Linked DNA regions of Kluyveromyces lactis. The protein of the gene in region 1 interacts with the protein of each later gene in a pairwise test. Links are inferred from orthologs where the notes say so. Each region holds a gene or a part of one and is shown on either strand. Other genes may lie near its edges.

What was found. The genes of interacting proteins can lie anywhere in the genome.
Region 2: the proteins of BUD14 (region 1) and TVP18 interact in a two-hybrid assay, tested with the Saccharomyces cerevisiae proteins (2 studies listed by BioGRID). The link is inferred for Kluyveromyces lactis from reciprocal best matches to the Saccharomyces cerevisiae genes BUD14 and TVP18.
Region 3: the proteins of BUD14 (region 1) and BEM2 interact in binary tests that used the Saccharomyces cerevisiae proteins (3 or more experiments, as listed by UniProt). The link is inferred for Kluyveromyces lactis from reciprocal best matches to the Saccharomyces cerevisiae genes BUD14 and BEM2.

What each region holds. Positions count from the first base shown.
Region 1 is NC_006039.1:388,284-392,635, forward strand, and holds BUD14 (protein phosphatase regulator BUD14), read left to right. Parts: upstream 1-1,528; coding exon 1,529-3,592; downstream 3,593-4,352. Other genes in the region: ADE1 (phosphoribosylaminoimidazolesuccinocarboxamide synthase), read right to left, coding at 1-748; KAP104 (Kap104p), read left to right, coding at 3,885-4,352. UniProt on the Saccharomyces cerevisiae protein: Important for bud site selection. Seems to be a regulatory subunit of the BUD14-GLC7 type-I phosphatase complex. The BUD14-GLC7 complex is necessary to regulate microtubule dynamics at the cortex and may function as a specific activator of the dynein complex.
Region 2 is NC_006041.1:1,646,248-1,648,997, forward strand, and holds TVP18 (Tvp18p), read left to right. Parts: upstream 1-1,358; coding exon 1,359-1,874; downstream 1,875-2,750. Other genes in the region: KLLA0_E18503g (RING finger and CHY zinc finger domain-containing protein), read right to left, coding at 1-818; MOT3 (Mot3p), read right to left, coding at 2,016-2,750. UniProt on the Saccharomyces cerevisiae protein: Golgi membrane protein involved in vesicular trafficking.
Region 3 is NC_006041.1:90,868-95,467, forward strand, and holds the start of BEM2 (GTPase-activating protein BEM2), read left to right. Parts: upstream 1-1,424; coding exon 1,425-4,600. UniProt on the Saccharomyces cerevisiae protein: GTPase-activating protein (GAP) for RHO1 and RHO2. Involved in the control of cellular morphogenesis. Required for proper bud site selection and bud emergence.

The sequences.
Region 1 (4,352 bases):
TACCGTTCCAGAAACGAGAGGAATCTGGGGTTAAAACCTCGTCCACAAGGATTATTTCATTAGTAGATTCATCGATACCAAACTCAAACTTTGTGTCAGCGATGATTATACCTCTTGATTTGGCAAAGTCTTTACATTTTGTGTACAATTTTATAGCCAACTTCTCGATTCTGTCACATAAGTCTTGACCGACCAATCGAGCTGCCTGTTCCGGAGAAATATTTTCGTCGTGCTCACCTTGTTCTGCTTTAGTAGAAGGAGTGAAGATAGGAGATGGGAATTCCTGAGATTCCAGTAAACCTTCTGGCTGTGGTAAACCATGGACAGTACCGGTCTTCTTGTATTCTTTCCAGGCAGATCCTGTGATAAATCCACGAACGATGACTTCTAATGGGATTAATTTGTGTTTTTGAACCAACAAAGATCTTCCCTCCAATTGAACTTTGTACTTAGATTCTGAAAGCTTTGCAGGTAATTTGTCAAAGATGGTTTCACCTGGACCTAATGGTTTCAAATGGTTGCGGACATCTTCCTTCAAGAAATCAAACCAAAATTCGGACAACTTGGTCAACAAGATACCCTTTTCTGGAATTGCATTCTTCATGATGACATCGTACGCAGAAATACGGTCAGTAGCGACGAACAACAAAGTTTGATCATCGACTTGGTAAATGTCTCTAACTTTACCTCTAGCCACTAATGGTAGGATACCGTCCAAGTTGGTTTGAGTGATGCTTGTCGTGTTCATGATGATCCCTTTTTTTCTTTTCAATTTCAATCTCCGCAGTAGTAATAGTCGGAAGCGAGTGAGTAATAGTACGTGAATCAGCTAATGCTTAGATGTGATAGTTCTCTAACATCTATCAAATATTAAGTGAAAAAGTGATTATACCGCTTTGCAACCACCTAATTTGCACACGTACTTACAAAGCTGGCTCATCTCATTATATACATCGCATTTCAATTTTTTATTTCTCATGTCTCGAGGGAAAGTAATATCGAAATATATCGAGATATGTCAAGTCAAAAATCATCATTTAAACACGTGACTGATATATTCCACGTAATGCTAAAATAGTAATCCGGGTAATGAAATATATTTCGGTTTCTCTTTCGCATCAGTTCCTTTTTCGCATAGCGAAGTTTCTGACATTCACAGCCGTTAGTCTTTAGTGATATACATTTAGAGATACAGATATGGTGGAATTAGTGAGAATGAACATGAAACGAGACAGAGAGGGAAAGGTGTATAGCGTACAGTAAAGGTCGTTCGACTTATCGAAGCTAGCACCTATACAAAAGGCGCAACAAACCATTTTAGAAGGGTTTTCAGGGGGATTTTCCGCTCTGGATAAAGCACTAAGAGGCTTGAAACAGCTTTTAATTCTCTTGTTTTTGGTGCAACATTTTCCACTGAGGTTTCAGAGATATATTTATACACGCGTTACTTGGAGAAAAGTATTATCAGCTTCCATCTCTGAATCCTATCTGTGCATTAACTGCTATTATACCACTCGAGTTGTATCGTATGATGGATTTGGAGTATCCTAAGATGTCAGGACTCGCAGGTCTGGGCTCTGGCTTAAGATCACGGGAACGATCAAAACCTGATCTATCGATATTAACTGATCCTACACTGGTTGAGGATTTCGATGAAATCATGAAACAGATGCGAAGCCTCAAGAAGGACGAGGAATCCCTGAGTGTCAATGCTAGTGTTGTGATAACGCCGACTGAAGCACATGCTAATGACGTAAATCGTCAAAAAGTTGACTATGAAGGTGTCCCGGATCTCGGTGATTTACAGTTGGAAGATGAGGAGGAAGAAGAAGAAGGAGAAGAAGAGTTAGCACAGGATATCGATAATGAGCATGATACCAGTTTCAGTTCGCGACATGGGAACGAGCTGCAGGATTCAGATTATGCATATTCAGATTCGGATTTTGAAGATAATTTGGAGGAGCGGTTAAGAAGTTTAGAGACTTCTTCTCAAAGAAACAGCGGAGAACATGTTTCTTCTGTGAAAGGGATAGTTGCAAACGATACATCGAGTGCTATTGATAATAACATGGTGGCAGATCGTGCGAAAGAAGCAAGAAACGGATTGGAGCAGAGATCATATGACGATATTGATGATGACGATGATGAGGCAGAAGAACAAGATGACAACGACGAAGAGGACTTGAATATAGGTTGGAACACTAATGAATCTGATGATTCTGATGAGCTGCAGCCGTTAAATCCGCCGCAAGAATTAGACCCCAGCAAATTATATGCATTATACCCGTTCCAGGGACCTGATCCATCACATTGCCAGTTGGAACAGGACGAAGGTTGTACTCTTTTGAATGACCAGGACTCTTATTGGTGGTTAGTTAAACGTTGCAGTGATGGGAAAATAGGATTCGCGCCTGCAGAACTTCTTGAAACGTTTCCTGAAAGGTTAGCTAGACTGAACTGTTGGAAAAACGAAAATATATCATCACATTCAATTTCTCATAAAGAGGATTCAAATTCAAGCAAAGAATCGAATATTTTGAACAAAGAAGATAGTATTGAGGCAGTTGAGTCCCCGTTGAACGCATACTCAAAAACTAATAAATCGGTTAGCTTCAATAATGTTGTCAGTTATGCTGAAAGATATATTGATGAAATAGAGCAAGAACCATTGGAGGACGACAGCGGAGAACTGAATGGTGCAGGAGAATACGTTCATGATGTGGAATCAAGAGACGGGCAAGACGGGCATCTACACCTGGGAACAGATCTTGGAACTCACTTAACACATGTCGATGAAATACATGAAACCCTTCTGAATGATCATTTGTCAGATGATGTAAGCGAAGTTGTAAGTGATGCTGCCTTCAATGTCCATGAAATGGCACCATTAATGGTGCAAAAAAATAGACCTTCAAAACCTGCCTTGACGGATCTGTTGTCAGAGAAACAAAATGATCTAAAACAAGTCTTTCAAGCTCCCACTATGCCAGTAGCAGCACCAAGAGGTACTTCCCAAATGACAAATTCAAATTCAAATTGTTCCATATCTACAATCGGAGAATACTCGCCTTCCTCTTCAGACTGGACAAATGATTCACCTCAGTTGCTAAGTGAAAAGGAATTCGAGAAGTCTAATTTGAATGATCAAATCCCATCTTCCAGAGCTATTCAAGATATATCGAAAATTGTAAGCTCGCAAGATGCGCCTGATTTGAACTCTCTTCATGATGAAGATTCTCTGCAACATAGTGAATCATTGCCAAAAGTAACTCATAATCACCAGCATTCGATATCTACACTGAATGCTGTAGATATCAACAGTTCTGTCGGGACAGAAAAAACTATTGATATTGATGAAGAAAATAGTATCTTACCAGATGAAAATACAAACGCTTACAGCACCGTTCCATCCTCTATAGCCTCAAGTTGCATGGACCATGAACACAACTCTCCATTAATTTCTGAAGTAGCATTGCATACAAGCACTGGTGTAGTAGGGGATTATCATCCAGTGATTAACTCCTTGTACAACCCTATTTTCAGCAAAATAGATGTTATGATGGACAAGATAGAAAACGCCATCTCAAACTGATATTACCTCCATTCAACGCATTATGTAGCTAACTTTTATAGAGACATAACCCAACAACAGCAATCACTATTGCTTCAGTAATCTGTCTGTGCTCATCTCCTGTTTCAGTACCGAAAGAATAACACACGTGACCGCAGTACTGCATTAGACTTTAAAATTTTTTTTTGGTTTGTTAGCTCATCGCAGAGATATCAAATTCACTAAAAACATTTGAGCAGGAGGAAGCACGGATATTGCTGATAAGGAAGTGGTCAGTACCGTGGAGACTCCATAAACAACCTTGAATCCCAGTATGCCATGGTCACCAGATAACGAAGGACTAACTCAACTTTGTTTGACATTACAACATGCTGTTTCAACTAATTCTGATGAGAGACAGCAAGCACTCGATGCATTGGAAACATTCAAATTAGAACCACAGTTTGCCAATTATTTATGTTACATTTTACTTCATCTTGAGGAAATGGATCAGTTAAGAGGTACTGCAGGTATTCTTTTGAAGAATTGCATATTGGGAGGCAACATCGTTGACCTAGGGTATGTCAAATCAGAAATTGTACGCGGGTTGTGTTTGAATAACAAATTTATTGTCAAGATTACTGGTATTGTAATTGCAGCCTTGTATTCTACTTATTATAGACAGCATAGAGAAGATCCTCAAGGGTTAATCACACTTGCACAATTAATTGAGCTCGCGAGAGACAATAACGAGGGTTCTTTGAAGGCCTTATCCAAAATGATGGAGGATGGTGCACAGTTT
Region 2 (2,750 bases), on another chromosome or scaffold:
TGATGGTCATCGATTTCTTCATCATGACAGAACCGGCAAGATACCCACTTGTTACATTGACTGCAGAGTAACTTACAGTTCCGCTGGTAATGCGGACACCCTCGAACCCCAGGTATTTGGTCTATATCCTTCTTATCCTCTTCAGTGGGTTCTGGCGGATCGAAATTGTATTCCGATACATGATTACCCTTAGAGACCAGCTCGTCAGATTCATGCGAATGCGAACAACCGGTATGCTCGCTTGGTACAGTGGCATGCTTCATCATTAGCGTTTGGATCATGGATGCCTTTTGTGTTTCTGACAAATCAACCAACGCTCTGATTTTTTTGATCCTCGACCTTAACGCATCCTCATCCTGATTGAATTTTACATCCCAATGCGTTAATTCCGTATATTCTTTATCCATTGGCATCACTAAATCGTTCGTGTACATCGTCGGATGCATCACCGAATGAACCTTAGTCACAACAGTAGGATCGGTATGCTCCGGACCCTTTATCTCCTCATTGGCAATACCGATACCAGCACTAGCCTTATCCTTTGAATCAGTACCTGATTCATCCCTTGTACCTTTTTTGCCATCGTCATGCGGAGAAGAACTTCCCCGTTCTGCATACGAAGGTAGGTTCAGTAACATAGTATCCCACCTCGCCTTGAGTGTCTGTAAACGATCCAGCGCCCCGCTAAAAGTAGCACCCCCCTGCAAGTCTGACATAAAACTATCCCATTGAAACTTCAACGAAAGCCGCGAAAGATCAGGGAATCCTCTGCCCAACGTCTCCCAATCGCTATCTTCATCACCGCTGGAAAGACTCATTTATAATCTTCTGTGCACCAATAGGAAACCTTGATAACTACAATGTCAGAAAAATCTCTTATTCCAGTCTTGCTGCATGTAAAGCAATAAGATATGGTGTGTATTCTAAGGCCTTTTACCTATATCTCCTCTGATCAACTGTGAAACGGATTCTTCGAACCTTATTGTAAGTCGAGAAAGTGGTGATTCTCATCTACACACATTTTTTCATGTTAAAGTAAAAGAAAGAAAAAATTAATAAAGGCTTTGGTAGAATTTAATGTATATCTGACAACAAAAGAGGTTTGAATGCCAAGTTCTGGATGGTTCATTGATTGATATCTTCAAGTTGTTATACTAATTGAAAGAGTTTTTTCATATATTTGACTGCTGTTGTACTACCCACTTGGTGAAAAGGATTACTCAGCGCAATTTTTGTGAATATCTTTACTGATATTATAATACACAGAGTACGTGAAAGAAAGGGGAGGTACATTTAAATTCCAATTGTTATACAAACAACAATAGCAAACGACATTTGTTCATACTAATTGGAGAAAAATGGTGTCCGTGGGTTTTTTGAAATCGATGTTTAACGTTTCAGGCATGGTAGCCGATTTGAAGTCTTCAAACTTCAGTATTTACGGTCAATGGATTTCATACTTGAATATAATTTTCTGTCTTGCGTTTGGTATTGCCAATATCTTCCATTTCAGTGCAGTCATTGTATTTTCTATCATTGCAATTGTTCAAGGTTTGATAATATTGTTCATTGAAGTACCATTTTTATTGAAGATTTGTCCGTTAAGCGATAACTTCATTGGGTTTGTCAGTAAATTCGACACCAATTTAAGACGTGCCTTGTTCTATTTGGTTATGTGTGCTATTCAATGGTGTTCTATTATCGTTCAAAGTACTAGTTTAATCGTTGTGGCGGTCGGTCTCAGTATTACAGCTACAGTGTACGCACTTGGTGCTGCTGCTGGTCAAGAATTCAAGAATAGTGCTATTCTAAGTGACCGGGGTAGAGTTGCTGCATCAGTGACAAACGAAGCGGTTGTTAGAGACATGCTTTGAACTAGTATGAGGAGAGGTTATATACCATTTTATTTCTTATTATGTATGATTTTTGTCAGTATAAAAATGTAACAGACCCTGTCTGTGTTTCTTCGAATGGAGATTACTAAATAATTGTTACATGATACTACCAACGCGGTGTTAGCTACACTTGCTATCTACTATATAATTCAAACATCTTTTCACCTGGTCCTTGGGCAAAGCGTTTGAATCCAACATGTCTCTGATGGTTGTTGAGGGTTCATTGTTGATTAGACAAATTGTCTCACCAGTGCTTGTGGTTACCAAGTTGGCAGTATTACCAGACCCGTTGTTTACATTCATCAGTATACCAAACAACGTGAATTCGTGTAGGAGATACTGTGTGTGCTTCAGTTTTAAATGTTGAAGCAAGTTGTCCTTACGTTTATGTGTGGATGAACACCATGGGCAATGAAACTTTTTCACGTTTGAATGAGACAGAAGATGTCTCTTTAACCAAGATTTTCGTCTGAATTGTTTCTCACATAGATGACACTGGTACGAGTGATGCGATTCGTGTGGTACGCCATCATGAGTCAACTGTTGCTGTTGTTGATCATGATCTTGGTCACGCCCGTTATTAGGATTGGAAAGAAGCTGTTGCTCATGGGTATTGTGTTCTTTGAAGGTTGAGAAGGAATCTTCACCAGTTCGAATGTTTAAAGGCTGCAGGGCCGTTGAAGGCTGTATATTGTGAGAAAGGTTTTGGGTTTGAGCTTGAAGTTTGACTTGCAGCATTTGTAACTGCTGCAAGTTATGCAATTGTTTATAATGTTGCATTCTATCGATTGAATGCACGGGGACGGCAGGGTGATAGGCCTGCTGCAAATTGTTATTATTACTGTACTGATAGTT
Region 3 (4,600 bases), on another chromosome or scaffold:
AGCAGAGCCTCAACTCATCCAGATTGTGAAAGGTTGTAATCAGCAGTTCCTGGATTCTTTTTTCAGTGACAGTCCATAAGCAAGACTACTGAATCACTTGCGTTCTCTAAATATGGAAACTGAGCCATAGGATATATTCGTCATATTTCAAAAGGAAAGCGAAATGACGACAAGGTAGGGCAACTTTCTATATAAAGAACAGAATAAATAAATACAGCCCTACCGATGCTTGTTGATGAAAGAGCCAAGAATGGTATCGGGCAGAAGATACAAATGTACGGGGGATTAAAAGACGGTAGCCTTACGAAATCTTCATCACGAGACGCGGTACCCTCTTTTTTCTCTTCCCTTTAAAAAAAACTTTATTCAACTGCATTACTGGCTTGGCGAATGCGTTAACACTTTGACCCTTTTGGGTCTCTAAGTAACAGTATAACTTCCTTATTTTGAGCATTTTTCCTACTTGAAGATACGATGACCGTCTAACCAGTAATGAAGTGTGACATTGACATTACCCCATTTTTACCGTGCATCATCGATGAATACCAGCTCCTACCTGCATCAGCAGTCTAGCTGGTTGGACGCGTCGCGGATAAAGTTAGTTATATATGAACACGCTACTTAAATATTCACGACCTGCACTGGGCTTCTTAAAATACGTAGACGTTGACCAAATCTTTGAATCGATTGTTCTGAGTTCGATTTTTTTGGTGGGAAAATCGAATCATAAAGGAAATGAAAGCTAAAACCTAAGTACGAAAAAAAATAAACAAAATACGATAGAACTGATCATATTTTTACACAACAGACAACATTTCTTTCCGGAACGGCACAAGACCAGTGAGCCCTTTACGAACTAATACATACACTCATTACTTTATTATAAATATACCTTGGATATACCTGGTTCGCTTTGTTTCCTAGTTATAAGCTGAGTGTTTTTGATTATTTTTTTTCAGCTTCAATCGCGATTTTAGAGGACGAAACGATACACCTCATAGGCTCCTTCCAGTTTTTGTTGGTATTTTGACGTGATCGATCACTTATCGCTTCCAATATCATAGTATCATTGTTACCTATCCATCATTGGGCTTGGAACTGTATTGCTCATAAATTGGAAAAGTGCCATCTAGAGTGCCTAAATTGATTGGATACCGACTCAAATCGTTCTTACTGAATTGATCGGTTTTGATAATAAGCTCAAGTGAAATAGTGTTTATAATTGGTTGATTTCCGCTGGTCATAAAAACTATTATCGATTAATCGATTATTTATCTCTTTTGCCTTATTTCGAATTGAGACTTAACTAAGACATCAGTTACCAGCTTTCCTTTCTTTCGTTTGATTCTATCCAGTTACACCTCTTCATTGAAGAGTAAAGGGAAATTCTAACGCATATATTCCACACAAGTAACGATTCAACAATGAAGGGTCTCCGGTGGTCAACTAGAACTAGGAAGAATGAGGATAAACATAAAGGCTCTGGGCATTCAATAGGCACGTCGTCAAATTCTGCGCCTTCGTCACATAGGGGATCAACTACATCTACGAATTCTGGGTTATCAATTTCGAGGCATGGCTCTCTACCGAAGTCTGCCTCCAATTTATATCTTTCAGAATCCCAGTCAAGATCGCAACGGTCTTTGTCGTCTTCGAGCAGTAGACATGATCTGCAAACAGTTACAGACGAAGAATCAATTGACTCAATCCCTGGTCATTCTAATAGTCTAACGCCAGTGATAAGTTCAAACAAAGATTCTATGACGATAAACGGAGGATCAGGAAGTACCTACGCCATTAACAATCTTACTTATGATAATAAACATGCCTCTTCCGTTAGCAATAATGACCAAAGTAATGCCGATATACGGTCAGAGAGTCTTGATCGTTCTCATACTCCCGCTTTACAGTTGAATTCTGATAACTTTGATTCTATGGTTTTTAAAACTGGCTGGATGAACAAGTCACACGGTACCGTTCATACTCCTTCGTCTAATTCGTCATTCGGGTCTTCTAGAAATCACCGTGAAAGTAGAATATACGGTTCGGATTTATCCTCCAGTAGTTCTGTCAGGAGTTCGTCTAACTATAGTCAGGAGTACCGTTTATACAAAGCCCAACTTAAAGGATGTGTCCTAAATCTTTACAAATCAGGTATCAGTAATGCAAAATTCTTGGACCCTACACTCGATCCACCTGACACAAAGCATGAACATGAAGAAGATCCGCAGTTACCGACGCCGCCTCTAATGACAGACATTCCAGTCAGCACCTCAAAGGAACAAAACTCTTCGAAGGAAGCAGGTCCCATTTCTAGTCCAAGCTCCAAGCAAAGTACAGTTTCTGCAATCCAGACAAAAGATAATGAAACAAATGTATCAAAGGACATAACGGAGATTAAATATTTAAGTGAGATCTATCCGCATCCAAATTTAAAGATTGATAAGCATGATCAAATTGTATTTGGAACTGTTGAAAGTATTTGTCATGCTGTTTTATTCTCTGTAACACTAGAAACAAAGAAGATTGTGGACCTTATTTTAATGCTGCCCCTGATCGAGGATTTTTCACTTTTCTTTCAATGTTTCTGCTTGTACGGTAAGACCTTTAGCAAGAATAGTGAAAAGCTTACCAATGACTCAAAGCAATTCCATAAAGTTTCGCCGGCCACAGATGAACTGATGACTCAACGTTTAGCATTGGTAGTAAAGACAGTACTAGACGTTTTTCCTGGTTTTTTGCTAGATGATACAACTTTTAATCATATCATAAACCTGCTAGACATTATATCGTTACATGATGATGAAATATCAAATTCCCTCAAACTAGCGATAGCCGAGTCGCATAATAAACTCAACAAGTTGGTTTCGTTCTCCAAAAAACCAGTAGACCAAAACGCTATTTCAAAATTCGTTGATGTCAAAGAATTTCTCAAATTAGATAATGCAATTTTGGCGGACCAAATACATGCTATCAACTTAACATATAATAAGATATGGTCACCTCAGAAAGACTACTCTTTGTTATATGATTCCGCTTTCAACAAGAACTATATTGATCTTAATCCGCTTGTGTTCAATAACAGGTCAAATATCCACTATGTTAGCAGGCTGTTGATCGAACACCTGTTTAAACAGATTGATGGTACGCCATTACACCCAAAGGAGAGGGCCCTTGTTCTGACGAAGTGGGTCCAACTGGGATGTACATTTGAAAAGATTGGAGATATGGTTTCATGGTTGGCGATCGCAACAATAATATGTTCTACGCCTATTCTAAGGCTATCCTTGACTTGGCAATATATTTCGGATCAAACACTTAAGATCATTTTCAAAGACTGGGTCCCCACAATCGTTCAACTTGAGAGAAGGCAATTATCGTTTCGGACTACTAATAGTGTCTTCATCTTAGCTCCTCCTAATCTGAATGAGAAATCTATCAGGGAAAACGTGATTCCGTACTTTGGAGACTTAACTATTCACACTAATGATTTGACTCAGGATACCATGTTTAGGTATCTGGAGAAAAAGATCTATAGAACTAAAAATGCCTTCCAAAAGTGGCAACAAAGGCTTCCTCCAATTGAAATGGCAAATATACAAAGTACGCCACAAAATCCCGACGTCGACTTTCACCACTATTTGAACTATCATGTATCCCGGTCACGTTTGAATGTTGAAAACATAATGGAAATGAGTCTGAAACTGGAACCCCCAAAGCTGGATAAACTTGATGCATTTGCGAATTTATCAAAAAGAAGCTCGCTGTTAAATGGTAGCTATCTGCCAATTTTGTTCAATCAGCTGTTTCTAGACTATTCTCTTTTCTCTCAGACTGCCCTCATAGGTGCTGCAGGTGCCCAAAATAACAGGCAGTCATTCGTTCAAACAAACACCCTCAGCAGGTCCGGTAAAACGCTATCTGTTAGTGGACCCTTAGGCATTAGCCCTGAAGATAAATCGTTGATAACCGGTATTGACCGGATTGATGAACCCGTGGTTAGAGAACTGTCCACAAAGCAGTCAAACAAACAAATGCTTCTTAAGTCTATTCGCGACGTGTTCAGTATCAACATGGATTTGTTCCATGTTTTAGATGATCTTACTTTTAAATCAGTTGATGACTGGGACAAAAAATCGAGACCGGCAAGTGTAGTTATCGAAACCCCTAAAAGATTCTCTGTTCAATCCTCCCGGGATTCTCAAGAAGTTATTAATAGATTAAGCGTTGGTGTAGAAAACATGGACTTTTTCAAAAACATCTCCAAGACAACCGATAGTTGGGATGAGGCTGTTATTAATGTCGTATTGAAATCTGCCTCTCTAGAAAAATTGTTCGATGTCCTGGTTCTGACTTCTTCAGTCTTCTCGAAGCTGGTAAGTATAAATGATATTTCGGCTTTTTTCAAAAACCATCAGGGAAAGTATAACGAGGGAAATGGAGCTGGTCTCTTGGACTACGCAATTGTTAAATTATGCATGGACAATGATTTGTACACCAAAACATTCTTCAGCACTTACAAAAGCTTTACTACAACGGCCTCTTTGTTGGAGAATTTGGCAAAACGGTTCATAGGTGCAAAATCTTGTGCAGTTTCCAT